4 linked regions of the Caenorhabditis elegans genome follow. The protein of the gene in region 4 interacts with the protein of the main gene of each other region in a pairwise test. Each region holds a gene or a part of one and is shown on either strand. Other genes may lie near its edges. The genes, in order: nhr-31, lsl-1, hlh-27 and pha-4.

Region 1 (10,375 bases), on a different chromosome or scaffold from region 4:
ACCTCCATAATCATAATCATAATCTATATAATCTATATAATATATATATATATATATATATATATTCTGAAATAATGCTCAATTTATAACATTTTCTAATAAAATCTCTTCATATAAAATCTGTTTATAACAAAAAAGCACAAGAGTCAAATATAGCTGAAATCAAGAATAATACAAAAAAAAGGATGGGGAATCCCAACCGGGGGAAATACATGCATCTACTCTATTTCGTGGGGACAGCACACTAAACAGATAAATTTCTTTTTTTTTTTGACTATTTTCATACCTGGGATTTCACAGAAGAAAAGAGAGAGAGGGACACAGAGAATGAGAGGAAAAAGTGAGGAAGAGAGAGACATTTTTGATCTTTTGCAAAACAAGTGAATTCATTGAATTTTTTGAGGAGAATTTTGTATTCTTACGATTAGATGCATAAAATGTCCGAATCGAACATATAATTTTTTAATCAAAAAATACATTCAATATTCTGGTGATGTGTGAGGGGTGTATGTCATTTCTTGAATGTCAATGAATGAGAAGAACAATCGGTTTAAAAAGAGACAATAACTTACTATGTATGTATATTGTATGTATAGGAAAACGATCTTTTTTAATGAGATATGTACACATATAAGTAATGAGAAATTACGGGCAAGATGGGTTGGTCTGTAGATTTTAGCTGTCAATGATTGGTTGATCCATAAGTTGACTGAAGAACTCTTCACAACCATTCAGCTCAGTCAAACTGATGTCATTCTGGAAGGCACTGTCATTGTCATCGAGAAGTGGGAATGGAGATGTTGACAGCTGAAAATTCACTCATTATATAAATTTTGGAGAATTTGGATTTTTTAATGTTAATTTTAAAGAAACATTTCCCTAGCCACAAGACATTTGAAAAACGCAAAAAAGCCCACATATGGAAGGAGTTTCTTGGGCTCGACCACTTTAGTCTTAACTTGAAACGGTGTTAATAATAGAAATAGAAATTCCCAAGAAAAAAATGTTAAGAGACTTGGAGCGAGTTAGCAAAAATAGGTACCGATTTGTATAAAAGAAAAATCGATAATAGTCACAGCCTCTATCTGAGCTTTTTTGAACGTTTTTCAAACTTCTTGTATATTCTTAAGAATATGTTTGTGTAAAACGCATTGAAGCTAGTTCCCTCAATTTAGAATCTTTACTATCCAAGAAAGTTTCAACATATTTTCCCTCAAATTCCATAAATATTTTCAAACTTCTCTCACCATTGGAGGAGAGTATCCAGCATTAAGCATGGAGCTACATGAATTTGAATGTGGAAGATATGGTCCAGATGATAACAAATCATCATTTGTCTGTGTTGCCACATCTACCCTTCTCACGAATCTTCGATCAGACATTGGCGGTGAGATACTCTGCAAACAAACAAGAAATTAGATTTTTGCACACTCTTATCATTGCCATTTATCAGTTGGTAGTTGGCAAATTTCAACTTTCAATTCTCCGAGAAACTCCGAAATTTTATAGTTTTAATGAGTTTATAGTTTTAATGACAATTAAAAGAAAAAGATAATGATATAAAGTTTGATCTTTCAGTCATTTTTAGTGAACTGACCTCTAAACAAATTTCAGCTGGATTCTCGAATAGTGGTGGGCTAATGCTGCTGCTGATAAGTTGATCATCAAATGTTCTATCTCCAAACATTTCAGCTAACAAGTTATCTCCACTTGCACGTCCTCCAAGAGCTTGACAGAAATGCATGTTTTCAGACATCAATCCGGAAAGAGTCTGAAATGTTTTGAAATAGAGAATGCAACAGTAATGACGACTAACAGTAATTGTTGGCAGAAGAAGCAACAAGTTTCCAAATCGGCTGCTTGCAGAATAGATTGGATGAAGCTCCTTGACAATTTGGAAAAGCATATCTTGAACTTTATCTCTCAACTCAGAAATCGCGTGCCTCGCATGCTCGGATAGTCCTTTTGCATTTGGATTTAAAATAATAATTGCTTTTAATGGAACAATTTCTTCTTCTTTCAGATTTAATTTTCTCAATGGAGCCACCAATTCATTTAACGTTCGATCAATCAGGAAGTTTGAGAGATGACTGAATAAATCAAATTAATTTTCTTTAATTTTAAATAGTATTTTTCATATATTTTTATTGCGTTGATAAAAATTGGAATTAAATTAAAATTCCAACTTACTTTGTCTCATTAAACTCTGGAGGCAATCTTCTTGGAACAAATGAATGACTGCAAAGACACAAAATATCCGGATTCTTCGTATTCTGAGCAGTTCTCGCAGAGAAATTGAAAATAGTTAACGGCGAGTAACAACTTTTAACCAATGCAACTTTATCTTCAGTATCAACTGCATCCGCAATTTCAGTTAATGAATCAACCCAATCAACAGCTGCAATTGCTCTTCTATGAGCAATTACTCCAAGTTCTTCAGTTCTTGCCATTCGAAATGGTTCATAACCAATTTCCATCCGTCGACCATCTAATGCAGGTTTTGATTCAAACATTTCCCGTAATGAAATACTTTTTGGATCTTTTGCAGTGTTTTGTGCACTCATATTATTATCTCCTTTTACTACTTTATCCTCAATACTCATCAATTGCATTAATAAAATTCGAGTCTCGACAGGAAGTTTTCGTGACCAATCATCTCCTTGTAACCGCATCTGAAAATTTCAAGTATTAATTTATACATCATTCATGTATAGTGTAAGTTATTCTGGATTTTATCAACAACACAAACTAAATTTTAACTGTTTGAATATGCATAAACATTTTTCACTCGATTATTCCAGAACAAATAGAAAACATCACAAAAAACACTCAAATCATTTTGAGATTTTCCATAATTTTATGTCAAGTTTTTGTGAATTGTCAAATTTTTGGAAATTTTAAATTTGCCACCAGTTTTTTTTCAGTGTATCTACATTTTCAAAACATACCATATGATTTAAAAGCTCCTCATCAATTTGCTTCTTCTTAATTCTTGGAACTTTCTGTTTTCCTGTCTGATCCCTATCCGGCCTGACTGCTTTTGGATCCATTCCTGCTTGAATACAACGTTGAAATCTGCAGTATCGGCAACTATTTCGCTGGACTGAAAACCGAAACTTCAGGTATTTTCTTGATTATAAAGATACTCAGTCAAGTATATTCGAATTTATTCTTTAAAAAACTTACATTTATCAACAATACAATTATTTGAGAATCTGCATGCATATCGATATTTTCCAGTCAGTGTTCTTCTAAAGAATCCTTTACATCCATAACATGCAAGTACTCCATAATGTAATTTTGCAATTCCGTCACCACAAACAGCACAAACTGAATCTCCATTCTGTGATCCACCACTAGAAACTGTGGGTTGCTTGTCACTGGGCCTGATGATATATGACGTGGCGGGACCACTTGATGACGTGGCACCGCTTGTCCTTAAATCTCCTCGCATCATTGGAACTCTGGAAATTTTAAAGTTAAAAGATCGGGAAAATTAGTTTCAAACACAAAAATAATAAAATTTAAAAACTAGAGTGTGTCCTTGAAATTTTGATTTCTTGATCTTCCCACAATAATTTGTGTCTTGGAAAATACAACGTTTTTTGGTGAAGACGGAATTACATTTTTCAAGTGATTAAACTTTCAAAAGAGTATTATATTTGATACGGTTTTTTCAGTTTCAAAATTGCAAAATTTTGTGTGTGGAAGCGGAATTGAAAGTCGATAGGCACTTTTTTGTTATTGTAAAAATTCATTGCTTAATCGGAGCTAAATGTGCAAAGTTTTCTAGCCAAAAGGCATTTAAGAATCCAATTAAAAAATCATTGGAACAGTGACCAATTCCATTGATGATAAAAAAAATTCATAATTTCAATTTGTTGCAAACTATCAAAGTTCACACATCAAAAAGACCAAAAAGTTCCACGTGGAAAAACTGACGTATTTGGGGGAATACCTATGGGGCGGTGTCTCTCTATGATAATATTACAAAATGGGGGAAATTAAGTGGGAGTGACATTGAAATAAAAGGAGATGAAGGAGGAGAAGACGACGACGATTTACTGATAACAAGGCGAAAGAGACACTGATTTGAAATAAAGAAGAAGAAGAATACAAAACAGAAGACGCTTGAGAGGATGAAGAGAAAATGAAAACATAAAGATTAGATGTCACTAAGGTTTTGAACAAATAGTAAATAATTTGTTTAAAACATTTTAACACCTGTAACTTTATTTTAGAACAGTATTTAAGCTTGTTTTTCACATCAATTACTTGTTTTTTAAATCAATTACACCAGTACAAAATAATTTTTTGTTGATAAACTACTTGTATATTTGAAAAAATGCACTCCCAAAAACATTATTTTCTCAATTAATCTTGCTCAACTTTGGCACCTGATATCTTGGCTATTTTCGATTGAATCAATTTAAAATCAACTGGCAGCAGATGTATTATTAATTTTTCTATAGTTTCAAAGCTTAACTTTTTTTTTGTTGAAACGAACGGAGGTATATACTTTCACAGTAAAATAGTCCGAGTTTTTGAAGTTTCATAAGCGTTTTTGAAGAATTATCATGCCAGATTTCGAACAGTTCCTAGTTAGGAACTATACTGACCAAAAGAGACTGTCGAGAAAATAAGAACCAAAGGAAGAGAGATAGTAATGGAAAAAAGAGAATCGAAGAAAAGAAACGAGAGAAAAATATGAGGTGGTTCGTGTCCGAAATCTCGACCTCCGAACAAGGCAAGTAAACAGGCGCGAACCTTTCCTCAAAGCACGCACACAATGATGATTTCCGCTTCGTTTATCCGCACAGAATTTTTTTTCTTCATTTTACAAGAATTTATTACCTATCAATCTTATAACCCTTGTCCCCCTGTAGGCTTGCCAGACTTGCCAATCACTTTCTAGGTCATTCTACTAGAGGAGGGAAAGGTGATAAAGATACATGAAACACAGACGAGAAACGGATGATGTCAGTAATAAATTAGAGATAGCTTTTAGCATAGGATGCCTATATTCTCCAATCAAACACTTAAATCTTCTTTCTGTTTATCCTTAATTCTAAATTAAAAATCAACGATTCGAATCAGTAAATGTATGATGTCATATTTATATCAAGACGTGCAGACTAATTGGGCTAATTGGATGTATTGCCTTTTTGTAAAGATATATTAGAAGATCAAATGATAGAGCCTCTGACTACAAGGATCCAAAATGTCACCAAAATAAATAAAATCGTAATGCTTTTTGTCTATCGAATTTTTTTACGGGTCTCATAAAATTGGAGGAGGCATTTGGAGATAAGATAACTTGTATCAATTGTTGTTTACAGCTGAATAAGGAAAAGGTTATTGGATAGGATAGGGGAAGTTAACATATACTAGTTTATCTATAAGTAGATGCTGAATTGTGATCTAGAATCAAAGCTGGATTATATTTTAAAATACTTTAATTATCCTGTTTAAGCTTTGCACACGAACAAACTACTAACTAGAGATTTTTTCAAATTCAAATATTTTATACTAAAAGTAAAAACCCGCAAAAATTATTTTTCGAATCGAGTAGAGAATACTTTTAGCTATTAACCTTGTGGAGTGAATACTAAACTGTCTTTCTGAAAACTTCTAAGAATATAATCAAAATTGAATCTCAAAAGAAACTTCTCACTAAATTAAGTGATCTTCTTCAACCGAAGAACACATCTGACTCATATGAACCGATGCAGTTCGTCTCGGTTTCTTGTAGCAAATTCCTTTTATCAATCACAATCATATCTTTCTTCATTCATTCAAATTGATCGATTACCGTCCTTGAACCCTTTTATTTTACTTTTTCTCAATTTCCATGTAAACCATTCCTCAAGTAGCATTCAAATCACAAAGATCATTCACCTATCCCTTTTTATCGCAATTTGATCATTCTTCGCGCGCATCTTGTCACGTGCCTCTTCACTCATTTCCACGCCAAATTTCAAAGTTTCCACGTGGCAGGGTTACTACTAAAGTGGCAAGACAGTAGTATTTACGATCGACGCGCTTTTACAAAGTATGTGTGAGATGGTGGTGATCAGAGGTAGTAGTGCCATTGATAAAATTGCAAATTATTATCACAAAAATGGTTGTTGCGTCGTGGCGGGGCAAGAATAAGATAACAAAGGGGAGACTCTGTCCTATACAAAAGGGAATTAGAATTAAAATGCAAATAGAACACGTACTTGCAGCTTCTTGAAAACTATCTAATGGCTCTAATGAGTTGAGATAATTGCTCAAAAGTTCATTTAAATCATTGTCAATTGATCTGAAAACGTCAGAAGATCAGCGATTGATTGCCAAAATGTCGTAATTTCTTTGAAACTATCAAATGCTTTGATATCAGAATAGATGTAAAAGTTTAAGGCCTGAAGGGATTTTGTATCACATTGACTTTGAATAAATTTAGATTTAGCATTAAATGGGGTTTCAAGTAAATCTTTTCTTTTCAATTTTCAATGTTTTTATCAAAGAGCCACTAGAGCTATATATTTGAGATAAAATTTTTTGGCGGCTTCGGTAAACAAAATTTTTTGAAAATTATTTATCTCACAAGTTCAAAAAATTAAAGAAAAAACTATGAAATGATCTCCAACTGATCAATTGAGCAAATAAATCTTAATAATTTGATATTAATTCTCAAAAAAGTTAGGGTTATGATGCAAGTTCAAATGCACAGAAAAGTTATAATAATCGATTTACTAACCTTTCAACTTTCACAACTCTTGTACCAGGTCTTATTGCATAAGTTGGTTCTTCTTCAAGATATTCATCACCCCAATACTCCCAATCTTCGACATCAAGTTGTTCCATTTTAACAGATGGTGCTGCAAACGGCAGCGTCGATATGGGAAAAATTTTGAATTAATTGAAATTAAAATTCGTGTTCTTCTATTTGTTGTTGCTGGAAAAAAGTATATATAAATGTATACATATTAAAGCAACGGATTTCAGAAAAATAAACGGTGAAAATGAAAGAAAAAGGGACGGTAATTGTGGTCGGAAGGTGGACAGGAGGATAGACGGACGGACAGGATGGATAGACGGTCAGGCGGATTATTAAACGGGTTTAGGTTTCATTTGTATATATAAATATATGAATGTGTTTAGATGAAAATATATATGAAAACGGAAAGAAATTAAACGGTCAATGTATTGAGGTGTCGGGTTATCACATCTTTTAATGAGATTTTGAACGTAATTTCTCTGTAATTAAGAAAATTCAATTTTAAATAAAATTATCTCCAGAAATAGAAAATTACTTATTTGACTAGATTCTACATAGTTTGTTTTAAAACCTTTCTTTAATAATAAAATATTATTTACATCCCGTAATTTATATATGGATTCCTTTTACCTTTCTCTAAGTGAATTAAAGTTAAGAAAAAAAATCGAACGGTCAGTTTAATGTGTACTACCTCTTGTACGTCCAAGTGGATCATTTCAAAAACATTGTTAAGTTCTAATCAAATATTGATAAAGTTAGGTAACGACTCAACCAGTCGCACTTTTCTTATTTTTATTTGATTTATTGGAGAAAGAAACGAGAGTAGGTTTCCATTTATTATCTATTTCTCGTTTTTCTAAATTAATATTTTCATTTTAGAATTTAAGAATTAGCTTCTGATAATAGTTCATGTCCCCCTTACAAATCAGAGTCTAACGTGGCAGCAGCCAAAAATTTGTGATTGATGATAACGAGTGACGGTGGCGGAGAAGGACGCAAAAAAAGTTTGCCAAGCCAATTCAGCAAGCTGGCACACCACCGATTATTGTTCTGATAACTGAAAAAAACCACGTGTGAAGAAGAGGAGCTGCCAAGAGATTAAGGATTGTTTAGTGGACATTTTAAATTTAGAAATCCTTTTTTGAAATTTGGAAAAATATGAATAAATGAAGCTTGAAGATTCAACAAAATTTATGTTATCAATAACCAAACATTGTTATGTTTTCTTCAAATGTTCTAAACTTTTGGTAATTCTCGGAGTTGGACCAATTCAAACAATATACAATTCAAAACTATTTTGGAACCATCCAGAATACTATGGAATTAACATGAAATAGAAACATAAACGTGTAAGTTATGTAAATGAAAATATGGAATAACCGAAACTTGTTAAAAATGCAAAATGACGGAGCGGATTGGTGAAAAGAAATACGGAGAGGATTATGAAAATGTATATGGCTACTAGATTATACAGTACTTTGAACTATTCGTAGATCATTTCAGCTCTATGACGACCACAACGATTGTCCGATTGTTCTTTTCAGATTTTTGAACTTTTAAGCGAAAAAAATTGAATTTTAAAAGTTATAATGTAAAGAATACACATTAATATGAGTCGAACTCTTGGAGATTATAGAAAATATTTAAAATTCTTAATAAAAGTTGAATAGACTTTCTGACTTTACTTGATTTAATCAAACTGTTCTTCGATAATAAATTGGCACAAACTGATAATAACCTGCCAATAAATCATATATTTGTGTTTCGACTTTTACTAAAGATTCTGCAACATTGAGACGTGAGATGGGAAATCCCAAGTTGATGGTTTCAAATAGAAAAGGAAAAGAAAAAAGAAACAAATAAAATATGATGGTTCTGGTGACTGTGTGTGTTCCGCCTGAATAGTAACGTAACAACGACGGGATTTTGGGCGATAGGGGGACACATCAAGGGACACCAACAGTAAAATGCAAATTGGGGGCGGGCGCAATTTGTGTGTGGGGAGAAAAACTATTGAGAAGGAGGAGAAGATGAAATTGGTGAGAAATTGAGGAGGAGGCGGAGACATAATAAGATATGATGAAAATATCTGTTTTTAGAGGTACACGAGGCTTGAAGTTGCAACAAAACCATTTGGTTAAACAACTAAAACAACAAACTACCGATTTGATTAGGACAGTTAAATGTTATGAAAAGGTCATTGAAAAAGGACTATCGGTTGAAATTGTTTTGGATGATACGGTCATGAAATGAGAAACAAGGAGGTCTATTAATAGAATCACACAGTTAAGAACATGGCCTATTTGTGTTGGGATTTTTTTAGAGTTGAAAGCATGAGCACCAGATTTCAATAGGAATATTCATAAGCTACCTAACATGGAAAATTAAAATTTTTAATTTTTTGATTTCTAACGGTATCGAATAATAAGAAATAGACTCCATATCAAAAATTGGATTCAGTTTCTGTACTGAACTTGAATTTTAACATTTCGATCGTTGTTGATAAAGGTCAGTTGCCAATGGAGAAATTGTCAAAACCCCCTTTTTTTGACGAGCTCCAAAAAAGCGGGCAAAACTGTTTAAAACAGAATAACAAATTAAATTTATTTTCAAAGTTTTACTATTTGGTAATTTTGGCACCATAGGTTTAAAAAAAATTCCCCACTGGCTCTAAATACTCCATCTTTAAATATAAATTTTTGAAATGATTAGTTTGATTCAAAACTCTTCTAATATTGTGCCAGCAATTTTCCAACAGTCTATCAATTTCTATCAACACTAATCTGCTAACCTACGTATTGCCAACAATCACTTCCGAATTCCAAATGTTTCTCTATCTCTCTCTCCTCCCGTTCATATGAAAAGTTCAAACCTCAACTACACCAACTAGCTGATATTACTTATTTCTTACAATTTCTTATCATTGTAAGTTTCTCGGAATTCAATTTGCTCCCACAACCATCATATTGTCTTGACATATCGAGACGTAAACTGATAAGAACGACAACTTGGCATGATTTGTGGTTGATCTACTTACTGAAGTGTTGCTTCACAAATTATAAATACTTTCAACAAACGGCTCATTATCAAATTAAGACAATTTTGTACTCTCTCCTACTGCCGACTTTCCTGCGTCATTATCACCGGAATGCTGTACAGAGCAGCAGAAGGTCGAAAGTTACAAGGATGACTTTGAAAATAAGTGAAAGCTTGCAGTTCATTCAGAAAAAGAAGGCGGGAGGGCATGTTACCTTAAGAATCGAAAGTTTAGGAGGTTTAATGTACTAAGACTCTTAGGGCTCCTTACAGGAATTTGGTGATAAAAAATGAAAAGAAAGAACCTTAGAAGATCAAAGGTGGACAAATACAAAATATTGCACCAGTTTGTTCTATGATAGTGAAGAAGTCCTGAAGGATTACCTGGTAACGAAAAAAGACTTTAACATGCAATGTTTCAGCTATTCTTTAATGGCCAGCTTCTTTGTGAGTTTCTCAGTTAACAATTAGGATAAAAACTTTTGGGAATTCCACCTTTTCTGACACTATTTTCGAGAACAACGAGAAATCTGCTTTTGTCAAAAACACGAAAAACGTAAAAAAAAGAAGTGAGTC
Region 2 (6,533 bases), on a different chromosome or scaffold from region 4:
ATCTCTACTCCTCTCAAATCTGTGTGCTCTCTCGGGCAGCACCAGCAGCCCGGTGGTCATCATCAATCAAGCATCGTGGAGCGAAGAGAGAGAGAGACCGTATTAAGAAGTGGCAGATGTCGCCAGATTGCACCGTTTGCACCAAAAATGACAGTAGTTGAGAGTTTGCCAGTTACTTTTCGGTCATTGACCTTTCTTAGAAATACTCAATCAAGTGAATTGGACAATATGTTAGGGGGAAACGGTCCTTACAATTAGTTTATTTATTGTTCACTCGACCTTTTTTTTGCTAAAGAATATTGAAATGGAAGAGGAAATTGAAAAATGAAACTTGCAAATAATATTCCGATGTGTACTTAAGGCTATTTTCTGAAATTGATGCAATTTTAACGCTAAAACTTGCAAGAAACATTGGAAACTACTTATATATTACGAGATTACAACATTCTGAGCCGCGCAACATATCTCGTAGCGAAAACTGCAGTAATTCTTAAAATGACTACTGTAGCTCTTGTGTCGATTTACGGGCTCGATTTTTTGAATTATTTTTTTTTCGAATATTGAAAGAAAAATCGAGCCCGGAAATCGACATAAGAGCTACAGTAGTCATTTAAAGAATTACTGTAGTTTTCACTACGAAATATTTTGCACGTCAAACATGTTTTCTCAGAATATTGTGCTCCCGTAATAGTTAAATCGCTCGTAAATCCACAAAGCAAATGCTGGCCTAGTTTTCTCCTCTTTCTCTTCCATTTCAAATTCAAAAAACTCCCCGCTTTCTAGTTTTCAAAACACCTTCAAATCCGTCAAACATATAATCTTAAAGTATCAATATGCACCACCTCAACTCGTTTACCTCTTTAATGAGCCACCTGCACTGCTTTTCGTCTGCGTCTCTCACTTCTTCATACTTTTTTTTCCCGGCTTTCTCCGAAAACATCTGCTCTTTCTCTGTGTGTTCCCGATTCCCTCAAATCTTTTTTTGTTCCCCCGCGAGAGGGATATTCAAAACGTGTGTCTCATAAATGTAATTTATATTCTAGAATCTGAAATTGGTTGTTTTTCCAAATTAAAAGAAGTATCATTGATATCCCCAACCCTGTGTATTAAATGTCTTAAAATCAGAAATCATCTTCTCTCATTATCACAGCTTTACCATTCAAACATTCCCCCAAATTGTCTTTTTCTTCACCTTGTCCTGCTTTGGTTGTGCTTTAATTGTGAATTTCCCAACTCCTTTATGCTTCTTTTTTACTTCCTTCCTTAAAAAACTTTGCCATCATCCAACGTTTGTTGTATTTTGTCTTCCATTCATATTTTCAAAATGAAAACTTCATAAAAATGAAAGGAACAAGTGCAACAGAACAAAACAATTACACGGGCGTTAGAAAGACAGGGATGTGGGGAAAATTCAGGGGAAAAACTATGCTGATGGTTTTAGAATGTTCATCTCATTTTCAGTGTTAGTGATCATACTGTAGCAGATTTGAGAGATATCGACTTCTGGAGAGCCCTGAAACAAAATAATACAATTAAGAATTAGCAATATTTAACAACTCACCATTTCAAGTTCATTATTACGAATCATCAATTGAACACGAGAATGATAGCTTTGGTGTTGACGATACATATCTACGTCGGCGAATACTCTCATGCATTTCTGAAAATAAAGTTTACAGGATATTCAAGATTTAATTTTCAATTATTTACCGTGCAATAATTTGGTTCTTCAGCTTCTTTCTTATCATGAGAAGCATACATATGCAGTTGACAATCCTCTCTTCCACTACATTCGCACTTGCAAATTGGGCATCGAAAGCTGTAATTTTCAGATTTTGCATGGGATATTAGTAAGACAATAATTATAATAATTTGCGGTAAAAATACAAACGCTGGTCTTTTCACGTCTTCTTTTTTTGTAAAATACAAAAGGGCGTGCGCCTTTAAAGAGTACTGTAATTTCAAATTGAATTGAAACTTACATCTCAAACTCGAGTGGTTTAGCTTGTTCTAGAACATCGGATGCCATGTGACAGTTAGTCAATCGCATTGTAGCTCTCATGATTTTATCGTCAAATGAAGATAGTGGGATAAGCTGGTTTCGGCAGATCATATCAACCCATTTTGAAGGATCTTTACCCAATAAAAGTTTCGGAACCGATCGCTTCTTCTCTGGATTGTAATAGGGCATCGATGTCCCACGAATGACTAGAGCATCGGACGGAATAATTCCAGACGAACGCCGATTGCTGAAATCATTTTTAAGACGAGATAGATATCAGAATTCCCCTCGTACAACACATATAATTCGTGGTTCGTGTATTATACGGTGGACGTACAATAAATGTATTATTCACATAATATAATGGACGAAGTTCTTAAAATTCGTGCAATGCAATGTGAATAACATATTTATTGTACGTCCAATGTATAATATACGTACCACGAACTATTTGTGAAGGTGAAGGGTCGACCGATTGCCAACCTCGAATATGGTCTATAAGCAGCTTCCAACTCTTCTTTGCTTGTCACATGAGTTCGCATGTGCTTTTTCATGTTTCCTTTCAATCGGAACTGTTTTCCACAAAATGGACACACATAAGGGGTATAGCCGGTGTGAACGGTACGATGCTCGAACATATTCGATTTGTATCGGAATCCTCGGCCACAAACATCGCAGATGTATGGTTTGGTGTCGGTATGAATCACAGAGTGCTGTTGGAGACCTGAAATGTTTTTTTTTATTTCAGCTTTCTATTTTTATGCGAATAACCTTTATAATTCATAAACATTTTATTACACACATTACACTGATGAACAGCAAACGGGGCGACTTCTTCTTGTTGATAGGTTCCGAACTAGAAACATTTCAATAATCTTAAAAATAAGAATCGAAATAAAATACCGTTATAGAAGCTTCGTAGTCCTCGCCGTCGTAAGATGGATCCGTTCGGTCATCAATAATTGACATCTGAAGTAAAAAATAAAATTTTTTGAAGAAAAAATGCAGACAATTTGTTGGTTTAAACATAAAATTAAGACAAACAAAACTCATAAATTAATTGACAGCTTCTCTAAATTTTAGGATTACCGTGTTTGACAGTTTCGTGGTGAGACCCAAAAGTTTCGTTGCGTCATGCGCCTTTGAGCACAGTGTCCCCAACAAAGAATTGTTTCTGCAATTTCGAATTAAGCTGAAAACATTATTTATATATTTAACAAAATTAGTTTAGAACAGAAGAACAGAAAATTAGAACATTTTCGATCTTTGTATTTTTTATACAAATATAATTTGAATAAATTTCCATACTTCTTCCCCGTTGTGTAATTTCTTTACTTTTCAGAACTTAAAACATTCAATTATTCTTTATTTTGAATTTTCTGTAAAACCTGCGCAATTGAATTTTATGTATTTATCAAAACAATTTTCAGCCATGCTACAGTAACTTCTTTAAAATCATCATTCTTCCTTGTCTAAATCGGAAATCTGTCTGTGTCCCGTTGGTCTATTTTGTTATTCGTCTGCAGTTTCTTCTACTTGTGCACTATATCGTTTCCACTGAGCGAGAGAAAGAGTATACACACACAACACATGCCAGTTCCTGTCCTTTGCCGCCCATCACCATTTTTTTCACCGTTTCGGCTCTGAAATGGACAATTCGTCACAGAGCAAACCGTCTAGTAGTTCGTCCAGTCATTCGCCAAGTCCTGCCGCAATTGTAAGTTTAATGGATTTTGAGTAAAGAAAAATAACGTTTTCTTGTAAAAACAGTATTGTATTTAATTTTTAAAAAAATCAGTTGAAGACGTATAAAGCCTGCTTTTACCAAAACTATCAATAAAAATCACTGAAAACTCAATAAATTAATAAATTCAGACACCAACACAACGAACAACACGAGATTCCGGATTGTGCTCAACAATTGATATTCCCGAAATTCAAGCACAATGTATTGATAATTTAAATAGTCATTATCTCGGAAAAGGCACTTATGGATTGGTTGAGAAAACAAGATATAGAAAAACTAGGCAGGATGACTTTAGGTTCGTTTCTAGCTTCAAAAATTTAAATTTAATTCTTTTAAAGCATGAGGAATTATCAAAAGTTAACAAAAAATCAATAAAATCACCAAAATATTATTTTCAGGCCAGCAGCAATCAAATATTCTTCTCAACTTCATATGGCAACTCTTATAAGAGAAGCAAAAGTTATGTGGGATCTCAGAAATCATCCTAATATTATAAAGTATGTTTTTATAAATGGAAAATACTGAAAATAGAAGTTTTTCAGAATTTATGGACTGTACAAAAGCCCTCGGAATGGGCAAGGAGTCGTTATGGAATATATGGATTGTGGAAGCATGGCCGATTGTGAGATTTTCATTTAAATTTAGTGAAAATCCCCGATTTCGCCAAATTTTTTAACATTTTGTCGGTTTATTCCGTGTTTCTTAGCGAATTAAACTACATTTTTTCGGCAATAGGAACAGAAATTTCTATCAGCTAAAAATATATTAAAATACATCAAAAAAGCGGATTATACTGCAAAATATGGAAGAAACTGAATAAAAATCAATATATGGACGCTGTAACACGAAAAATCTGGCAAAAAAAATTTCACTATAATTTTGAACAAAAAAAATGCTATTTGGTTTTTTTTTTCCATTTTTAGTCTTAAAAAAATCGCTTTAAATTCTCCAAACCCTGTTTTTTACGAAATTAAAAATTCATTTCAATGAGGCAATTCTCCAAAATAAAATTTAGCTGAAAAATCTATTTTTTTTTCAGTACTCTACGACAGAACACACATTAATTATACAATTGATCATGTGGCTTCATGGATGTTTCAACTATCATCCGCCGTCGATTTTTTCCATTCCAACAGCCAAGTTCACAGAGATTTGAAACTTCAAAAGTGAGTTTTTGATAGCAGAAATTATTGAAAGAAATATATATGTTGGATGTGAAGATGTTTTCAGTGATTTTTGAAAATTAACAGAAAAATATTGAAATTTTTTTCTTTACTATTAGCTAATATATTAGGTAAATTTTTTAAAAGTTGAAAGAATTAATGGCGGAGATCCTGTCAATTTAACAATTTAGATTTTAGAAAAATTCAACAAAATCTTTTGAAATTTTAAGTGAATTTAGTACAGAAAAGCAGAAATGTTTCGAATCCATTTTTAGACATTCGAAAAATTAATTTTAAAGGGTTCTACATTTTTGTGTGAGCTATTTTTTTTATTTTTTTAAGCAAAAAGTTCCTTGAAAATTGGTCCACAAAATAATGTGTAAAATCTAAAAAAAATCATTTTTAAAAAATAATATTTCAAAGTGGATTTAAAAATATCCTCCAAGAAGAACTAATCATATGAAAATAATTTTAAAAAGCCATTTTAAAAGTAAAAATGAGGAATTTCTTAATTTTTGTAGCTTTTCAAATTTCAATAAATTATCAGAAATCTTTAGCGGTCAGTTTTCAAAATTAAAATTAAATCACCTACTGTGGTCAATCAAAATAATTTCAGCATGCTTCTCTCTGATCGATATCGAACAATGAAATTATGTGATTTTGGAACATTTACCTCAATGCATCAATCAATGACTTCAAATCGTGGAACTCCAATCACAATGGCTCCAGAAGTATTTCGATGTGAACAGTATAATATGAAATCTGACATCTACAGTATTGGAATTATAATGTGGCAAATTATTGCTAGAAATCATCCGTATCGAAGAGATCTCTCAGTTCCTGGACTTTTATATAATGTTGCGACAGCTAACTTACGTCCACAAGAACTCGAATGTAATCCTATTTTGTCTGAATTTTATAAGAAATGTTGGAATGATAATGCTGATATTCGACCGACTTCTTCCGAATGTGTAGAATATTTTACTCTTCTAAAAGATGTAAGTTCTTTTAAAAAATTAAAAATTAAATACTCAACCAGTTAAAAACAATTTTTTTGAATTGAACAAATATTTCTAAAAATACAAAATTAAAATTTTTGGACAATCTCGAAAGAAGGTGCTGCAAAGCAAATTAAATTTTTTGTTTTCGAATTTTTTATTGCGAAGAAATTAAAGTATTTATTGAATTTATTTTAAAGTTTTTAAATTTTAAAAATTGTGTTATTCCAACACAATTTTTAATTTTATCTGAGAATTACTGTATTCGTGATAAGACCTGCTTTTCTATGAAACATATGAATCTCGCCAAACTCCAAAAAAACTAATTTTTTTTGCATTAAAGGAATATCCGAATGGGAGCGTACCTTTATCGGATTCTTCAACAAATGGACCAGCAGAAACTCCTCCACCACATGCTCATCGACCAACAATGCTTGGAACTTCTTCTGGAAGTGGAATAGGATCAAATAATCGAACACCAACTGCTTCAAAACTTTTAAATCCTCAACAACCTGGACAGGGTCATAGAAGAAATCGTAGTGAGACTTTTGTAGTGCAACCGGTAAGATTTTCATTTGGATAGCTTGAAAAACAGAAAATTGAAATTTTAGGATCTACCGTAT
Region 3 (5,817 bases), on a different chromosome or scaffold from region 4:
TTTGATTTTCGCTGCGAGACCCGTAGATGGACAAACAATTATTTGGCCATGTTATGGGCGTGAGTTTCCCCTTTTTATAGGAAATTTTGGTTGAGAATGTAAAGGGGATATTAGAATTGTGTTAATTTATATTATATATATATATATATATATCAGAATAAAAACAATTTGAAATAATTTTGAATCAACAGTCCGGATTTTTGAAAATCTCCTTTTCTAGTTTATGAAGTTAATTTTATTGCAGAAAAAAACAAGAAAAACTTTTTTTGAACGTGGACTTCAAAGATGTGATAACGTTGTGTTTAAAAAAGTTCGTCAACGACAAGATCAATATTTTCCGAAAATCCATAAATAATTTATTTTCAAATCTATTCTCGTCACGAGATGACGGAGGCTCCCGTTATTCAGCTAAGTATTGACTATAGAGTTCGTCGTTACAAGGTTTTCAAGAAACTTGAAGATGGTGAATTCGGAGCAGTGTATGCTGTGCGAGATGATGCTGGAGAGGAGCATGTTTTGAAGGCTCAGTTGAATACCAAGGAGATATATGTGAGTTAATACTGTCGAACCATTAAGCAGAAAATGTTATTTTTAGTCGCTGAGAATTGAGCTTTGTGTGATGACAAAGGTATCTGAGAAGTCGCCCAGCCACATGCCTACTCTCATTGGTATGTAGTACACTTTTGTAGGTAACCGTAACCCCATCTTTCAGACAAGGGACGCCATGACAACTTTAACTATATTGTCATGAAGCTTCTTGGGAAATCCCTGCAAGATGCTATAAAGACTGGGCCTGATGGTCATTTGACATTTGGGCTCTGCGATTGGGGCATCGTTTCAATGCTTGGAAGCATTGGAAGATTTGCATTGGAGTGGGTTCTTGGACAGAGATGTGAACCCTGGCAACTTCTATCTCGGAAGAGCAAGCCAAGGCGAGCTTCGCAACATTTTTGTTCTTAGATTCGGATGTTGCCGAAAGTATGTAGATCGCGAAAATTTGATGCTCGAGCCAAGAAAAACTGTGCCATTTCGTGGAAGCCCTCGATATGCACCGCTTGCATCACATAATACGGCGGAACATGGACTGAAGGACGATTTGGAAAGCTGGCTAGTTTAATCAATTTAAGAACTAGTCATTTATGTGATATATTCTGTAAAGATGCCAGAAGGCCAGATTGGGTTATCACTTAGAATTGAAAATAAGAATAATAGTTTTTATTTGAGAAAATGTGTTTTTCTAGGTTCTACATGCTCGTCGATTTCACCAATGCAGCTCTTCCCTGGAAAAATGTAAATGAGATTGGCGAGATTGGTGCGATGAAGAAGAATTCCCGCTTCCAACCGATCATGGGCCAATTCCTTGCTGGCTGCCCAGATGAATTTCGCTTGATTATGAAGTGAGTCTCTACCAAAGCTGATTTATTCGTAATTTTCCATTTCCAGCTATATCGACAGTCTTTCGTTCTTCAAGGAGCCCGATTATGAGATGATCTATACAACACTGCAAAAAGTGATGCTAGACAAGGACATTGAAGAGTTTCCGTATGACTGGGAGATGGAATTTGGTGTGGACTAATGGAACTTTGATTATACATACTTGTCTTGCTTGTATTCTGGCTAACAAATTTTACCGAATAAACATTCATTTTCAAACAGAATAATTTAGACAAGACTATCACGTGAGTAGTAAAAAATCTTCAAAAATAGATTGCGACGCGATGGGATGAAAAAGTTCGGGAATATTGGCCATAGAAAGATAAAAAAATGAATCAAAAACGCAATATAGACAATGAAGATTTTCGAAAAATTGCTCAGAAACTAATTGTAAGATCTGGAAGAACTTGATAGACTAGTTACTAATATCGACGGTTTCTTCATTTTCTTCCTCGTCACTAGTTTCTGGTGTTAAGATTTGAAGTGATGGAAGAATGAATCGGAGGGGAGCAGAAAATATTGATGGAACGGTGTTGTAGTTTGACAAGACATTGAACTGAGTAGTTGGGATCATTGGAATACATGGAAATGTGAGCAATGGAGAAGTAGATGTTGGGGATTCTTGAACTTCTTGAAACGTCAATCTTGGGAAGAGATCCTTCACTTCCATTCGTGTTTTTGGCTTTTCATTCTCTTTGTTCTCACAAGTAGCAGTTGATTTTCCAGCTAAAAGAGGAAGTATTTGGGGAATTGTTTCTGGATACAGAAGATCGGAATTGTGTTTAATGTAATCAATGATGATTTCTAGAATTGTGATCCGTTCAAGTTTTAATCTGAAAATAATTTTTTGAATTTTTATTAGCCATAATGAAACTCTTACCGTTGCTCGTAACTTCCCATTTGTTTGTTCAAAATGAAGAATTTCAATTCAGCATAACAGTCATCTTGTTTCTTTCTTCGAATCTTTTCACGTTCAGTCTTCACTTTTCTTCTTTCGGATTCAGTATCAAACTTCCGTCTTGTAGATTCGGAGAGGTCATTCGATGAGAAATTAGATTCCAGATTAACTCCAGTCACAAGTTTCACAATTCGGAAGAGAACTACTTCTTGTCTAAAAAATGAATTAGTTTAATAACTATTTTAAGCTAACAGAGTATTTAAACTTACGATATATGTTCTTCTTCTGATTTTTGAACAATCGTCTTGCATTCGTTAATCAACTCGTTTGTAATATTTCTTCTTTTCCGTTCAGATCCTGATTTTGGAGTTTGATTGTATGGGACGGAACGATAATCGCTCATTGAAGATGGGATAACTTTTGGCATCTGAAATTTGATAAGTTTTAATCTTTTTAAAATCAAGAAGAAATCTAGAATTTATAAAATTTCAAGATGAGCCGTTAAATAAAAGGAATAATTGTGACAAAACAGAAAAATGAGACCAAGAAAGCAGCACAAATTGATTTAGTTTAGTGAGATAACTCGTGCTGTTTTTCTAGAAGTATACAGTTCACTGAATGCTTTAAAAGTAATTGATCAAAATCAGTACACTTTCCTGATGTTACAATTATCAAAAAGTATACTAAACCAGCAGACCAGTGATCCACCAAGAAAGTAAATGAACAATGAATAAATGGTTACCTTTTATAGTTCCATTATTGTTCAGAGGGTGGAGCTTTGTATCAAGCGTTTGGAGCCATGGGAATTATTCTGAAATCTCTATTTTTACAGTCCCCATCATGGGTTCCCATGGTTCATCAGTGAGGTTCTCATGAGAACGAGGCTGGACATCTCCAGTTTTGTCTTGGGACCATGCGAAACTAGACGACTGGATATCGATTGGGTACTGCCTGGGAAATTCCGGCTGAGACTGTGAATTAGGATATTGGCACTGTGTTAATTTATTCTATAAGTTTATAGTAGTATCAACTGTACCGGATGAACAACATTTTAAACAGAAATATCTCGAAAAGAAATAAAATAGGAGAAAACAACTGAAATTATTTTGCCAGTAATTCTAAACAAGATTGATTTGCAACAGTTTCTTCGAACATAATTTTTATATAAGAAGATATCTATTTTGAATTGACAGTGGTCAACAGAATAAATATGGAGAACAATCATATTGGAAGAGCTGGAATGCAAAAGTGAGAGGAAATTGATTTGAGCTCTTCGATTATGGACGCAAAAATGGCATGGCGTGACTGAAACGACATAAGTTTGAAAGTTGATAGGACGATTTATAATATAAATTGTGTTCCCTGTTTGCTCCAATGATATGAATTTCGGCAACAGTATCACTACAGTATCACGACAGTAGCCTTATAATAACCCGCCAATAAATTCATTTGATCTTCGCTCATGATCTCAGAAACGATTTTTAGTTTTATTACAATTATCATACAGTATCATGATAACAACGGAGATTGCCCGTGGAATAGTTCAGCTACTGGAATATTGGCTACAGTAATCCTATGGCAGTAGCTATGACCTTAAATATACTCACATCTGTCTCCCAAATTACAATTTTTTATTTTTTATTCTTTAATATATTAAGCCATAAATTTCATCGTACAACGACGGAAGACAATTTTTGGAAACTTGCCGAGTCAAAATTATCATGACTCACCTTGGAGATCGTGGAGGAAGCCAGATCATTTGTGGCAATCTCTTCCTGAAGGCGGGTTTCCATAATTCTCACAGATGTCTTGAAACGGTCCTAGGCATTCTAGAAATGTAATGTGATGACGAATAAATGTATATTTCTAACCTTCCGGATTATCTCCAAAAGAGCCTTTGCTCGGTTATATGTGGCACGGTCGACGCCATTGGCGGTCTGAATATAAAAGATGAGTTGAATTTCAGAACGAGATTGAAATACTCACCTTTTTCATTTCACTTCTTGCCTCTTTTTGAAGCTTTCTGCGGTCCATTTTGTAGCAGATGTGAAGGTAAGATCTGAAACTATGAGCAATAAATTAATAGCGAAGTCAAGTCAAGTGATTGAATGTAATTGGTGAGGAAATTAGTATTCAATTTCAATCAAAATCACTGAAACTGATATTTCCGTTTTCAGTGTTCCAAAGTGTACCAATTGCCAACTAAAAGGTTATGTGAACAAACTTTCAAATCAATAAGCCTCCTCAGCTTCAACAAAAAGGGACAAATTTTATCAAAAACTATTAATAACGAAAAATCCCTGACTCATGGTGCATGGCTCTTTCTCAATTCTGATTTTTTGTTGTCTCCCCCCGTTGCAACGATGATAATTTCTGTCTTATTTCTGTATACAGGGTTGCCTTTGGCCTGAATGTTTTTGTCCTTTGTTTTAGGGAAATGAGTTCTGAAACTTTTTTTGTTGGTAATACTTCCAATACTTTGTTAGGTTCAAAAAGTGGTTCTAAAAATTTTGTTTTACGCCATCCATTATTTTTAAAATAACCTGAACTCGTTTTGGTTACTCTGAAGTAACTTAAAAATCGCAATTGTTAATAGAGATAACAAGATCTATAAAAATCGCAGCTTTAGTCTGATTGATCCGACCACAAGGGGCTTCCACGAAAATTGATAAACCATTTCGACAAAAAAATGAGTCATGTTTTGACTGTTACTGACCAACAATTATCGCTACTATTTCTCTTAAAAACAATTGAAAATCATTTAAAAAAAAACAGTTCATTTGTCTCTTTCTGTTTTGCATTTACGTTTTCCAACATTAAATTGACGACATCTGTAATACTCATAAAAATCGTCAATGCACACATTTTTCTCTCAGTTTTTCCTTTTAGCTACAGGACTTTTCGTTTTTTTTTCATTCACTAATTGAACAAGAGAATCCCTCTTGAAGGGATGACTTTGATAATCAATTCGTACACTCAGACAGGTGCGAGTCACGGCTAACCGACTCAAAATCACTGCTAATTAGCTTTTTGACCAGGGATAGAGTCAACCTGGCTAGCTCTGGTTTTTTGCTAATTAGCAATGGTTTGCTAATTAGCCATGGTTTTAAGCTAATTAGTTCTGGTTTTTTGGCGTTTTGCTAATTAGCAGTGATTTTGAGTCGGTTAGCCGTGACTCGCACCTGTCTGAGCATGTTTGGTTTAAAAAAATATTTAAATTTGTTTAGAAAATGTTTTCAATATTTTTTTCAGCAGAATTTTACAGATTTACAATCTTCTTTCATACTCAGATGCAACAAATCTCGAGTTTGACGTCAGGTAAAACTTTCAATTTCTTCTCTGACACTATATGTAAGTTAGTTTTCCATTTATTTCTTGAAGTTTTTCTATTTAAAAAAACTAGCAAACTTTTGTTTTTCAACTTCCGTCGTGTTTGAGCCATTTGTTAAATAATTAATAACAAATTTTTCACCCAATTTTTCCTC
Region 4 (10,281 bases):
GAAAAACTCAAAACAAAATACCATGAGAAAATGGAGAGAATTTGGAAAGAAGTGAATAGTGTTAGATACAAAGACATTTAGGAAGTCATAAAGTAGAAGGAGCCTGGAAAACATGGAAAAGAGGAGTCAAGTCCCTGCGGATAAAAATGGAACATATCTATTGTGGAAAAAATAAATTCATCAAAAACATTGGGGAATATTATGTTGATATTGATAGGTGTATACTTATTGCAGAAAACATTCAGAATTAAATTCGGAACCGGTAAAGTTTTGATTTTACACATGGAGGAATAAAAATCAATTTCTGGTAAAAGTTAAGGCATCTGGTAGAGGGGAACCAGTATAAATTCAAATTCAGTTTAAAAAAAGAGAACATGGGACGAAGAATGAATATAAATTCTCAACAGTATTTACAACAACGATGAGGTGACACAAGCACGCCGGTTGAAACCAATGGCAGGAGGATCGCAAAAAATAATCATTTTCCATCCATAGAACATTTTTTTCACGGTATTAGCATCAGCAGTATCCTATGCCCTGTTCCAATAAAAGGAGAACGTGTGAATTGGAGATTTATAGGTTGGCGGCCGAGTTCGGGTTGGTGGAGCTGAAATTATTTAAATATGGAACTAGGCTTTCTATCGACTTTTTTTGCAACGGGCCATGTTAATTATATTTTATTTTTAGGTGCATTTTGCATACTTTCATAGAACCCTTCTAAATAAGCCCCAAAAGTTTTAGCGGCAGAGGAGCACTTTGAACTGGATAAAAGTCGATCTGAAATTGCTATCAGTGCATTTTTTAACTACTTTAGAGGCCCGTAAAATTGCTCCAAATGATAATTTTGAAAATCTTCATTCAAGTATTCTAGACGCTTTTTGGAAGTTTTTTTTTTTAATAATCTGAAAAATTCCAATAATCGAAACAGTCCAAAAAATAATAATCGAAACAGTCCAAAAAAAATTTCCGATTGTTAGCCGGCTCCTTAAAGACCAATAATTCATTGAAAGTGTGCAAAAATTTACACCTGAAACATTTTTTCGGGCCTCAAACGTTTTGAAATTTTCACTGAAAAATTTTCAGAGCGACTTTTTTGCAGCGCAGAGTGATCCTCTGCCGCTAAAATTTTTGCAGGGGCCTATTTAGAAGGTCTTCTTTCAAATGACATAAATTTTATTCAGAATTCCGGGATTAAGTTGAAATACTTTCCTTGATAATAAAAACCAATACTATCAAATTCGTTAGTACTTTTTTAAATCTTACTATTATGACCGAGTAGAACCAGACTCCAATTTTTACTAAATTGAAATTTATTGTTAACTTCTAAAACATTCAAAATAATCATGAGACCGTAGAAAATAAATGATGTGTTTTAAACAAGGAAAACAAACGAAAAAAATTAGTAGGGGGTCAACAAAACATCGTTAGTTATACCATCAGACATACCTGTAAAGAGTATTCTGGTATACTCCGTTGGTGTAGTCAATTCCTGGATAACTGCTCGTTGTGTTGTAGAGTGTGTTGTTCAGGAAATTCTGGGATTGTGGGAGAATTGTGGCAAAATCCGAACTGTAGAGGTAAGGAGACGCGTATTGACCATTGAGTGTCATCTGAAAAAATTCAAAATGGGAGCTTGAAATATTGTATTCACTGGCTAGATTTTATCTTACCTGTGCTTGCGTGGTTCCTAGTGTGCCAACACTTGAGATCACTGAAGTAGGTTGACTGTGATTAACAGCCGACGGCGTTCCCGATGGGTCAATTAGGCCAAGATTGGCAGCAGCTGCAGTTGCATCTTGCACAGCTTTCAGCTCTTCCTTGATCTCCTTCTTTGTAGAAATTTGAGGGATCAGAGAATAAGCACCAAGTGATGATGTGGTCGTGATGGATGTTGGATCCTCTTCTTTGATTTCCATTTTTGGAATGTGTTGTTGTTGATGCAATTGTTGGGAGTTGGCATTTCTCTTCTTTCTCGATGGCTCACGTTCCTTGACCTTGAATCTCTTCTGCCTACGGAGGTAGCATCCATTCTCAAACATATTCCCACAGTGCTCGTGAAGAGTCCAGAAGGATCCCTTTCCAGGCTTGTCAGGGGACCTGAAAATTATAAACTTAGTCTTTGTAAATCGTTTCCGGAAAACATCCATATAGATTTTTTGTCAAATCTTTTCACTAACGCGCACCCTCACTCTCTCCGGTAATTTCTCATTTCAACAGCTTCACGCATCAATGGGTGTCCCTTGGGCGCACGGTATAATAAATGTGGCGCTGCAGAAAAGGTAGTCCTTGAGATAAACTATATAGGTTCCGATTATAATAGGAAATGATGGTTTTTGTGGGAAAACAATAAGAAGTTTTTTATCGGGACAAAACGTGTCCAGAAAAAACTTTAATTTTCAAGACTCTTACCTGGCAACCTTTACAAAGCAATCATTGAAGGAGAGGGAGTGGCGAATTGAGTTTTGCCATCTTTGTTGATTGTTCTGATAGTAAGGGAACAAATCCATGATCCAATTGTAGATTTCAGACAATGTCAATTGTCTAGAATTAGACTTTTGAATTGCCATAGTAATTAAGCTAATGTAAGAGTATGGAGGTTTCGATTGTCCATAAGTTCCATGTCTTCTGATCTTTTCCGTGACAGTTTCAAATTCCTGAATCGTGAGTTCTTGGCCTTGCCCTCCGCTTACACCAGAATAAGACCTATCGGCTGGCGATGCAGCAACCGTCGAGCTTGATCGTCCATTGCTTCTTCCGATGACCGCTGAGGCGGACGACGTGGCCACGGAAGCGGCCGCTGTGGTGGCTCCGGTGGTGCCAGTGGTAAAACCTGAATGAGATCAAATTACAAATTGTGTATAGAGAGCGCCACTCAAGGTAGGTATGAATGAATAATGGATACTCATTTTGTGCTTGGGAAATATTTAGAGCTTTCAGAGTGAAGAGTATCTCACAATAATTTATTTAATCAGGATTGTCTATAGATATAAATTCATGCATTGTCTTAACCGTATTAAAAATAATTATATGCTATACTGTTTTTATGTATGTGAGAGTTAGTATTTAGACAATTAGGGATATTTTAAAACTTACCAAGAGGTGAAATTCCTCCTCCTTGCATGAAATTGGCTGGGCTGATGTAGTTCGATCCGAGCTGATTAGCAGTGGCATACTGGCTGTAGTTGTTGTAGTTCAGAAGTCCATTGGCAGCAGTCTGGTACTGAAAGTAGAATGGATGTTATTAGACTTATTAGTGAGAACAGGGTCAAACTTTTTACCTGATATGGTTGGTAGTTTAACGTAGTATTAGAATACGTCGGCAGATAGTCCTGAGCGTTCATGGCCTGCAAGAAAAAAATTGAAAGTTTGCTTTGAGGTCTGGGATTATGTAAATATTTAAAGATAAATACAAAATGTGTGTGTGTGTGTGTGTTTATAACAAATAACAAATATTTAGAAAATTCGGAAGCCCCACACGTGGAGCTAGACATGGAAATGAACAAATAAGTCCCGTTTGACCTCTGAACCTGAGCCTTGGAAATTCCTTAAAAAGATGATGCTCAAAGGTAAGTAGAACGCCCCGTACTGAAGAAGAGAGGTGAAGGAGAGGCTAGGCACTAGAGCAGCGGGACTCCGCCTACCTTGCCCTCCTATGCGCGTGCGCACCGCCTATCGCTTAGCCACAGTAACCCCGTCGCGGACTCCGCCCATTTCGGATTTTTACCTTGTTTTAGATTTCAACTGACTCATGGCTGAAAATAGTATAGGTGTTTCACTAATTGTAATCTCCACGTGGTGCTTTTTTAAGAATTCTAATTTTGGTTGTGTGTGTGTTTGTGGACGGTGGGGGGGGGGGGGGGGGGGGGGGGGGGGGTTCCTCGTCGTCGTCGGATAAATAAATAGAAATTGAATAAATATTTGGCTTCTTGGGCAACACGACGCCCAGCCCCTTCTTCTTTTGGTAGGAGGACCTCACAATTTCTATTTTCTTCTGGACACCATCACTTTGCTACTTTTTAGCTACTTTTCTAAAAAATTTTACAAAAAAAAAACTAACTGCTACAATTTTAAATCGAATTTTTATTAAATGAGGAGTACCGAAATCTGAGACTTTGCTTTTTTAACCCAAAATGACGCAAAACTACCGAATTTCATAATGAGACGTTTTAAAAATTTCTCAAAAAAAAGCTATGGCGGTTCAAAGTTCTAGAAAAAATTTGCCCATTTTCAGCTAAAATCAAATTTTTTTTGCCAACTTCTTGGTGTCACAGCGTCTTGAACATAATCCCTATTTGGTTATCACTCTTTAATTTTTGGTTGATTTTAATGTTGAGCCGTATTGGACCTCAAAATATTTCGCAATTCTAAATTTTGGTGATATACTCAGAATCTGGGATTGAATTTCAAAGAAATATTTTCGATTTAAAAAATTGATTAACGAATTGAAATTTTAAAACTTATTGCAGAAACTAACAAGTTAAACAGAAGAATAAAAAAACTAAATGACTCACAGTGCATTTACCTACTCAAAAAATTAATCATCAAAAAGATACGCCAGACGGTTATACAACTAGCCATATGGTTTTTTATTCTGATAAGCTTGGGTTAAAAATGACGATTATTATTATTACTTTATTTTTGACACCCTACCAAATTTGCCGCACCATACCTACCGTATAGTCTACACTTGAAGCAGCCGACGACGTGGCAGGCACCTGATTTCCCGTGTCGGAGGTCCCAGAAGTGGTTCCATTTGGCAACATTTTATGTTTCTGCTCGCGTTTTCGATTCTTCTCGGTTTCCAATAACTTTTTATTTTCCTGTTCCACAGAATCTTCTGAATCCGTTGAATTCGTGGTTGTGGCTGGCTCGGCTTCAGAGTCAGGTTCCGACTCTGGCTCCTCTTTGATGACCTTCAAACAAAATAGTTTAATTTTTTTCATTGTTAAAAAGTTCTCAAATTTTTCATTGAATTTTCCAAAATATCTCTTTTCCACTTGACCCAATTTTGTGTCCTAGCCTAGCACGTACTAGGATACTAAGAATGAGGTGGTGTGGTATAGAATTACATACAAGTGGGATAGAGGAGGGAGGAGGATTCAGATGTGAAGAAATTGAAAATATGTCCGGGGGCAATTTCGGCGAAAGCTTAAGGGTTGATGAGAGGAAAAGCGGCAAGGAAATCTCTTAAAAATGCAATATATAGCACCAAATGATACAAACGGCAATTTCAAGAGCTGAAGAACGATGACGAAATGAGAGTGGGTTGGAAATAGGTTCGGGATGCGAGGGTTTTACTACGTGGCGGCGAAGTTGAAAAAAAAAACTATCGCTATTTTTTTAAAAACATGTGAATGTTTCAACAAAATCTACAAGAGAAATCTTAATTTTTTTTCTTTTCTTAGACCACCTTATCAATACCGCTATGGGTCCTCTCACATTTTTATTAAAACTTTTATTATTGATTGAAAAGAGGCGTGGTATCAATCAGGGGTGGGCGGCAAACAATTTTTCCGGCAAATCGGCAAATTGCCGGAATTGAAAATTTCCGGCAAAGTGTTTCGGTCTTACGAAAAAATCCCTCTAAACATTTCCGGCAAATCTGATATCCGGCACCGGCAGTTTGCCGATTCGCCTTTTTTTAAAAACTATTTCCTTTTACTATTGCCGCCGTTTTTAGTCCGATTTTGAATGGTTCTTTCAAGCAAATTTTGAATGAATATTTCTGGGTCCAGATGTTCGCCCTAACAGTCGTTTTTTCCAGCTGTGATTCAAAATCGTAAAAAAACTTGAGACGACTATCATCCATCTGCCGCCTATTTTTTAGCACCTGTTATTATTGAGCATTAACTGCGCTGACTCATTATCTTATACACTTCTCCAAAATAATCAATAATCGTAAAATAGAGTAGAAAGCAGTGTAGGCGGAAGAAGAGGTTTCTTATCAATACTCACTCGATATGATTTCATTATTTCAAAATAGGTGTAGGTATATTAGAATCAAAAAGTGTGGGACGTTTTTAGGAAAAAGAAAATTCATGTCTATAAGAATAGTAATTGTAAAGTGAGAAAAACATTTTCCATGGTAAATCCAAACTTTTGAACCCCATTTCGTCATATTTTGTTCTAAAAAAATTAGGTTCGTCTTGAAGCTTATCACATATTTATCACTGAAACCGTGTGAAACGAACATGGCAAATAAAAGAAACAACAATTGGCAAACAAAAACTGATATCACATACACACTGCGAAATTGTCAAATATTTGCATGGGAAGGAGGAGCGAGAGAGTAGAAAAGAGCACAAAATATACGTCTAGGAGGCTCCCATTTTTGGGTGGAAGCTTTCGGAGCCACTGGTGGTGGTGCCCCTTCGGTGAATATCGCATTTCATCCATCGAAACAAAAAATATTTGGATGGCCCGAGTTTTGTTTTTGGAGCATTTTTTTCGGGAGCTCTTATTATCGAAATATGAAAACTTTTAATTTTCCACAGTGTTTCAAAACATGTTCAAATTGTTCCATAGAAATTTTTTCTAGCAAAACGAAGAAAAAACTTTGTGCGTGGACCGTGAGAATCAAATTTTCATTGTATCTCTCCGAAAAGAGAATCGATAAAAAAATCTTAAAAGAAAGTTTTAACAATTTCACTTTTTGAGCCTTGCATATTTTAAGAGTTCATGACTAACATTCAAATTCCAAAAAAGCTATTGAACTTAGAAAAAATGTATTTAATGTCATTAAAAAAGTTTGTAGTGATGTTTGAAGAAAATATGGTAAGCTGAACAATAACCTAAACTATTTCTGACAAATCACAGATGTTCATGATATTCTCAAAATGTGCATCTTCCCAGAATACCAATGGAGCAATAATAGGTGGCAACCTAGCATCCTGGCCGGGTCATATTGACATCGAGTATCCCCTGTTAATGAGCACTTATGTGCTATTATACACAGAAGGTGCTCATTTTCAGATTGTTTCAGAAGAGAAATAGAAAGGTAGCTGCAGAAATAGATTAAACATGTGTGGCAAAGATGGTTGTAAGTTTTTAATTTCGAAAAAAGTGAGCATACAGCCGGGAGCTAACAAAAACGTTTTCAGAGGCCCCGAACAATTTTAAAAAAAAACGATGCATGAAGCAGAAAATAACTGGTGCCTTACCCTTATATCAATAATGTCCTCATCACTGGATGGCGATGTCATTGTATCTCAAATTAGATAGTCCTTCAAAAAATACGCAGTGGACAGATAGGGTGTATAAGGTAATATTGGCTGGGGTTGGGTGATTTTGTTAGGTCTCTTGATACGACTCTTCGTTATCAACACTGTGACAGTGTGATGGTGATGATGGTGGTGTAGAAGGGGGCTGTATGGGAATGAGTAGAAGGGAATGGACATAGAGACGCAGTAACACGAGAGAAAAAGAGCACTGATTGATAAGAGAGTTTGACACGGACACCTGGAGACAGCGATCGTCACTCTCTGCTTCTCTACTTCTGCAAGCCTCCTTTTTGGGTTGTGGAGGGAGAGAGAGAGACTGAGTGATCGGAGACCGAGAGCGGGCGCGGTGCCCTTTTGAGTCATTTTGTACAGGCGTAGGGTGGTGGAGAGGGGAGATGGTGTTTCTTTGAAAAGCCGTCTGAGCAAGGGTGTTTAGTGACCCAGAATCGTATAGTGGTGTAGAAATGGAAAGTTTAACATTGAACTCCAAAAACTATCATTAAGCTCACAATCAGCTAATCTCAACTCTTCCTAATCATGTTTTAATATCTCATTTGAAAAAATGAAACCGTCCAATCTCCCCCACGACAATAGGAAAAATAAATTTCTCACCCTCAACTGCCATTCTTCTTCTTCTTGCCTTTTTCATCAACACAATTTTGTGACTGGTACAGATACATAAGAGGACGGACGCCGCGCGCGCGACATTTAGATACGTTATGGGAGCAAGATAAGGCTAGTTGTGTAGCAGTTAATAGCAGTTAAGAATTAGGTAGTATTAACAAAGGGCAATTTAAAAAGATATCACAAAAAAGTATAATATATTTTTTGTTTCAGTCATTCATACAATGTCCATTGGTCCGTTGGTGTGTAAGACTAAGAGACTACAAGTTTTATTGAAGGCACAGTACTAACTTTTGAATTTTTGAAAACCTTGAGAAAAAGAATCAAGCTTTGACAAAAAATTTGCTTGATGCTGTTTTAGGCACGAAAATTAAAATTTTCACAATTTTCAAAATTTCAAATCGTTCCGATTTATTTTTTTTAATTAATAGATACGGTACATCTGGTAACAAGTCTGTGCGAGACTATTAAAGTGTTCAATACTGGTATAATAATTACTGTAAATCAAAAAAAAGCAATAAGAAAGTTAAATCAATGAGACGCTAATACTCCCAAAAATAACTTGGAACAGGTGAATCATTTCAACGATTCACAAAAAACAGAGTTCAAGTTCCGTCTCATTGATTTTTCATTGCATACCACACCCAAGCATCCGAAACTAGTATTAGGTTCAGGAATGACTAATCTCCCAATGGATAGTTACTGTATCAAAAGAGACGTTCACAGCATTGCCCTCTCGTTGCTCCGTCCATCAAGGGCACTGATAATGAGGGTTATCAACATAATAGTTACAAAGACAGGAAAGTGACCAATAAGTTAGATGGTCCATTATCACCTTTTGACAAAAGTTTAATGGTTCCGCTTTCCGCATAGCTCATCGTCGGTAGAATCTTTTGTAACACTATTCTTTAGGCCTTTGCTATCGTTTCTTTGTTAAGGGGAATAGGGATTACCAATCTTTTTTTTTTTTGATTTAAAAATCCAAAAAATTATGATTTTCCCAGATATTAATACAGCCAGCTGTATGATCTTATTCTCAGCACCTCTGTATTCACTTTCAGAGACCTATAGAGACCTATTGTCCGGTTAAGTAGTCGCACCCATGTGCGATTTACAGATATAATGCATGTGAACAACATGAACGCAGTTATGATAGTCCTATTGGCGGGCTAAAAATCTAATCTTTCTTATCAAGGGCCATGGTATAGTTTTTCTGATAAGAAATGACTATAACTTTTATATAAATGCATTAATAAAGTTTTTGGAAATCTTTACATCCAATCATTATTTGTCTTTCCCATTCTACCCAACACTTTAATATCTATTCAGAAACTGTTAATTTTCAGATTTTTTCAATGAAAACTTAATAGATATAGGAAGTATCTGATTTGGAAAATTTGGGATTTAATTTTTCAAGACATTCAAACATTTCGGATTCGAAACAAATAATTTAAAATGAAAAAAAAATTGGTTTATTTTAAGATGAAGTTTTAGAAATTAATTTTTTCAGATGTGACTTTTTTGGACAACTAGAGGCGGGTTTCACTTCACTGGTTGTTTTTTCATCTAAACTATCGATTTCTTCTAAACTTGTCAGTAACAGCTAAAGAAATAAGCTCACAGTCCTGAATTGATCGAAGGAATGGATAAATTCAGAAACAGAGGAGCATTTGCCAGATTAGCTGTTAGCAGAAAAATCGATCCACTTCTGGTGACAACCTATTTGTCTGACCGGGTCAAATGTGCACTGAGTACCCCCTGTTGCTGAGCACTTAGGTGTAATAATACACAAAAGGTGCTCATTTTCAGATTGTTTCAGGTGTAAAAGTGGAAAGTTGAACTTGTCTTACGAGACTAGCCATATGGAAAAGACAATGAAAATGGTGCAATTAAAAAGGGTTTTTTGAGAGAGAGAGAGAGAACATGTTTTTCCCAGGTTGTCTGAATCAGGTTCATATAAATTATTTTTTCTCAAGTCATCAGGACTTAAAATTTGAGGTTGCCATGTAAGAAGTTTTCAATCGTCTAACTCAACTTGTAAGTATTAAGAAACGAAGAGGGTCACCATCTATCTCTTATTCAGGTAGCCCTTTGCCATCAAAGAAAAAAGCCGACAAGTTAGACAAGGGAGGCTACTTGTACTACTTGTAAGAGGTAAACCACGAGAATAAAAATATGAATTAGTACAAAGGGAGAACAAATCGAAAGGAAAGAAAGATAAGGGATATACATATTTGATATTTCAAGCAGAAATTCGAAATTGAAAAAAAAAATTACGATTGAAAGTTTACCAGATTTGAAAATGTACAGTATTATGTTTTTAAATTGTTATTACTAAAAATAACAAACCAAAAAATAACACTGAAGAATGGTAGAGCTGTCAAATGTTGACTACGGTAACTGTTAAAAATATATCTGTCACATAGAACATTCTTGT

What was found.
Region 1: the proteins of pha-4 (region 4) and nhr-31 interact in a two-hybrid assay, tested with the Caenorhabditis elegans proteins (one large-scale study listed by BioGRID).
Region 2: the proteins of pha-4 (region 4) and lsl-1 interact in a two-hybrid assay, tested with the Caenorhabditis elegans proteins (one large-scale study listed by BioGRID).
Region 3: the proteins of pha-4 (region 4) and hlh-27 interact in a two-hybrid assay, tested with the Caenorhabditis elegans proteins (one large-scale study listed by BioGRID).

Annotation. Positions count from the first base shown.
Region 1 is NC_003282.8:8,022,574-8,032,948, forward strand, and holds nhr-31 (Nuclear hormone receptor family member nhr-31), read right to left. Parts: upstream 6,941-10,375; 5' UTR 6,850-6,940; coding exon 6,743-6,849; intron 6,085-6,742; exon of another isoform or gene 5,938-6,084; intron 3,465-5,937; coding exon 3,187-3,464; intron 3,104-3,186; coding exon 2,949-3,103; intron 2,673-2,948; coding exon 2,191-2,672; intron 2,091-2,190; coding exon 1,817-2,090; intron 1,772-1,816; coding exon 1,598-1,771; intron 1,398-1,597; coding exon 1,248-1,397; intron 808-1,247; coding exon 676-807; 3' UTR 82-675; downstream 1-81. UniProt on the Caenorhabditis elegans protein: Orphan nuclear receptor.
Region 2 is NC_003279.8:9,897,717-9,904,249, reverse strand, and holds lsl-1 (C2H2-type domain-containing protein), read right to left. Parts: upstream 2,972-6,533; coding exon 2,906-2,971; intron 2,859-2,905; coding exon 2,774-2,858; intron 2,727-2,773; coding exon 2,486-2,726; intron 2,250-2,485; coding exon 1,983-2,249; intron 1,820-1,982; coding exon 1,711-1,819; intron 1,661-1,710; coding exon 1,562-1,660; intron 1,514-1,561; coding exon 1,424-1,513; 3' UTR 1,321-1,423; downstream 1-1,320. Other genes in the region: Mitogen-activated protein kinase kinase kinase mom-4, read left to right, coding at 3,651-3,719, 3,878-4,044, 4,148-4,246, 4,292-4,371, 4,789-4,915, 5,529-5,910, 6,254-6,472, 6,522-6,533.
Region 3 is NC_003280.10:5,537,451-5,543,267, forward strand, and holds hlh-27 (BHLH domain-containing protein), read right to left. Parts: upstream 2,764-5,817; 5' UTR 2,760-2,763; coding exon 2,602-2,759; intron 2,546-2,601; coding exon 2,315-2,545; intron 2,268-2,314; coding exon 1,850-2,267; 3' UTR 1,625-1,849; downstream 1-1,624. Other genes in the region: C17C3.11 (Protein kinase domain-containing protein), read left to right, coding at 385-549, 596-668, 713-960; C17C3.24 (uncharacterized protein), read right to left, coding at 3,554-3,637, 4,063-4,125.
Region 4 is NC_003283.11:20,749,973-20,760,253, reverse strand, and holds the start of pha-4 (Defective pharyngeal development protein 4), read right to left. Parts: upstream 7,203-10,281; coding exon 7,161-7,202; intron 4,914-7,160; coding exon 4,674-4,913; intron 3,726-4,673; exon of another isoform or gene 3,517-3,725; intron 3,345-3,516; coding exon 3,279-3,344; intron 3,221-3,278; coding exon 3,094-3,220; intron 2,831-3,093; coding exon 2,410-2,830; intron 2,098-2,409; coding exon 1,671-2,097; intron 1,611-1,670; coding exon 1,447-1,610; intron 608-1,446; coding exon 574-607; 3' UTR 1-573.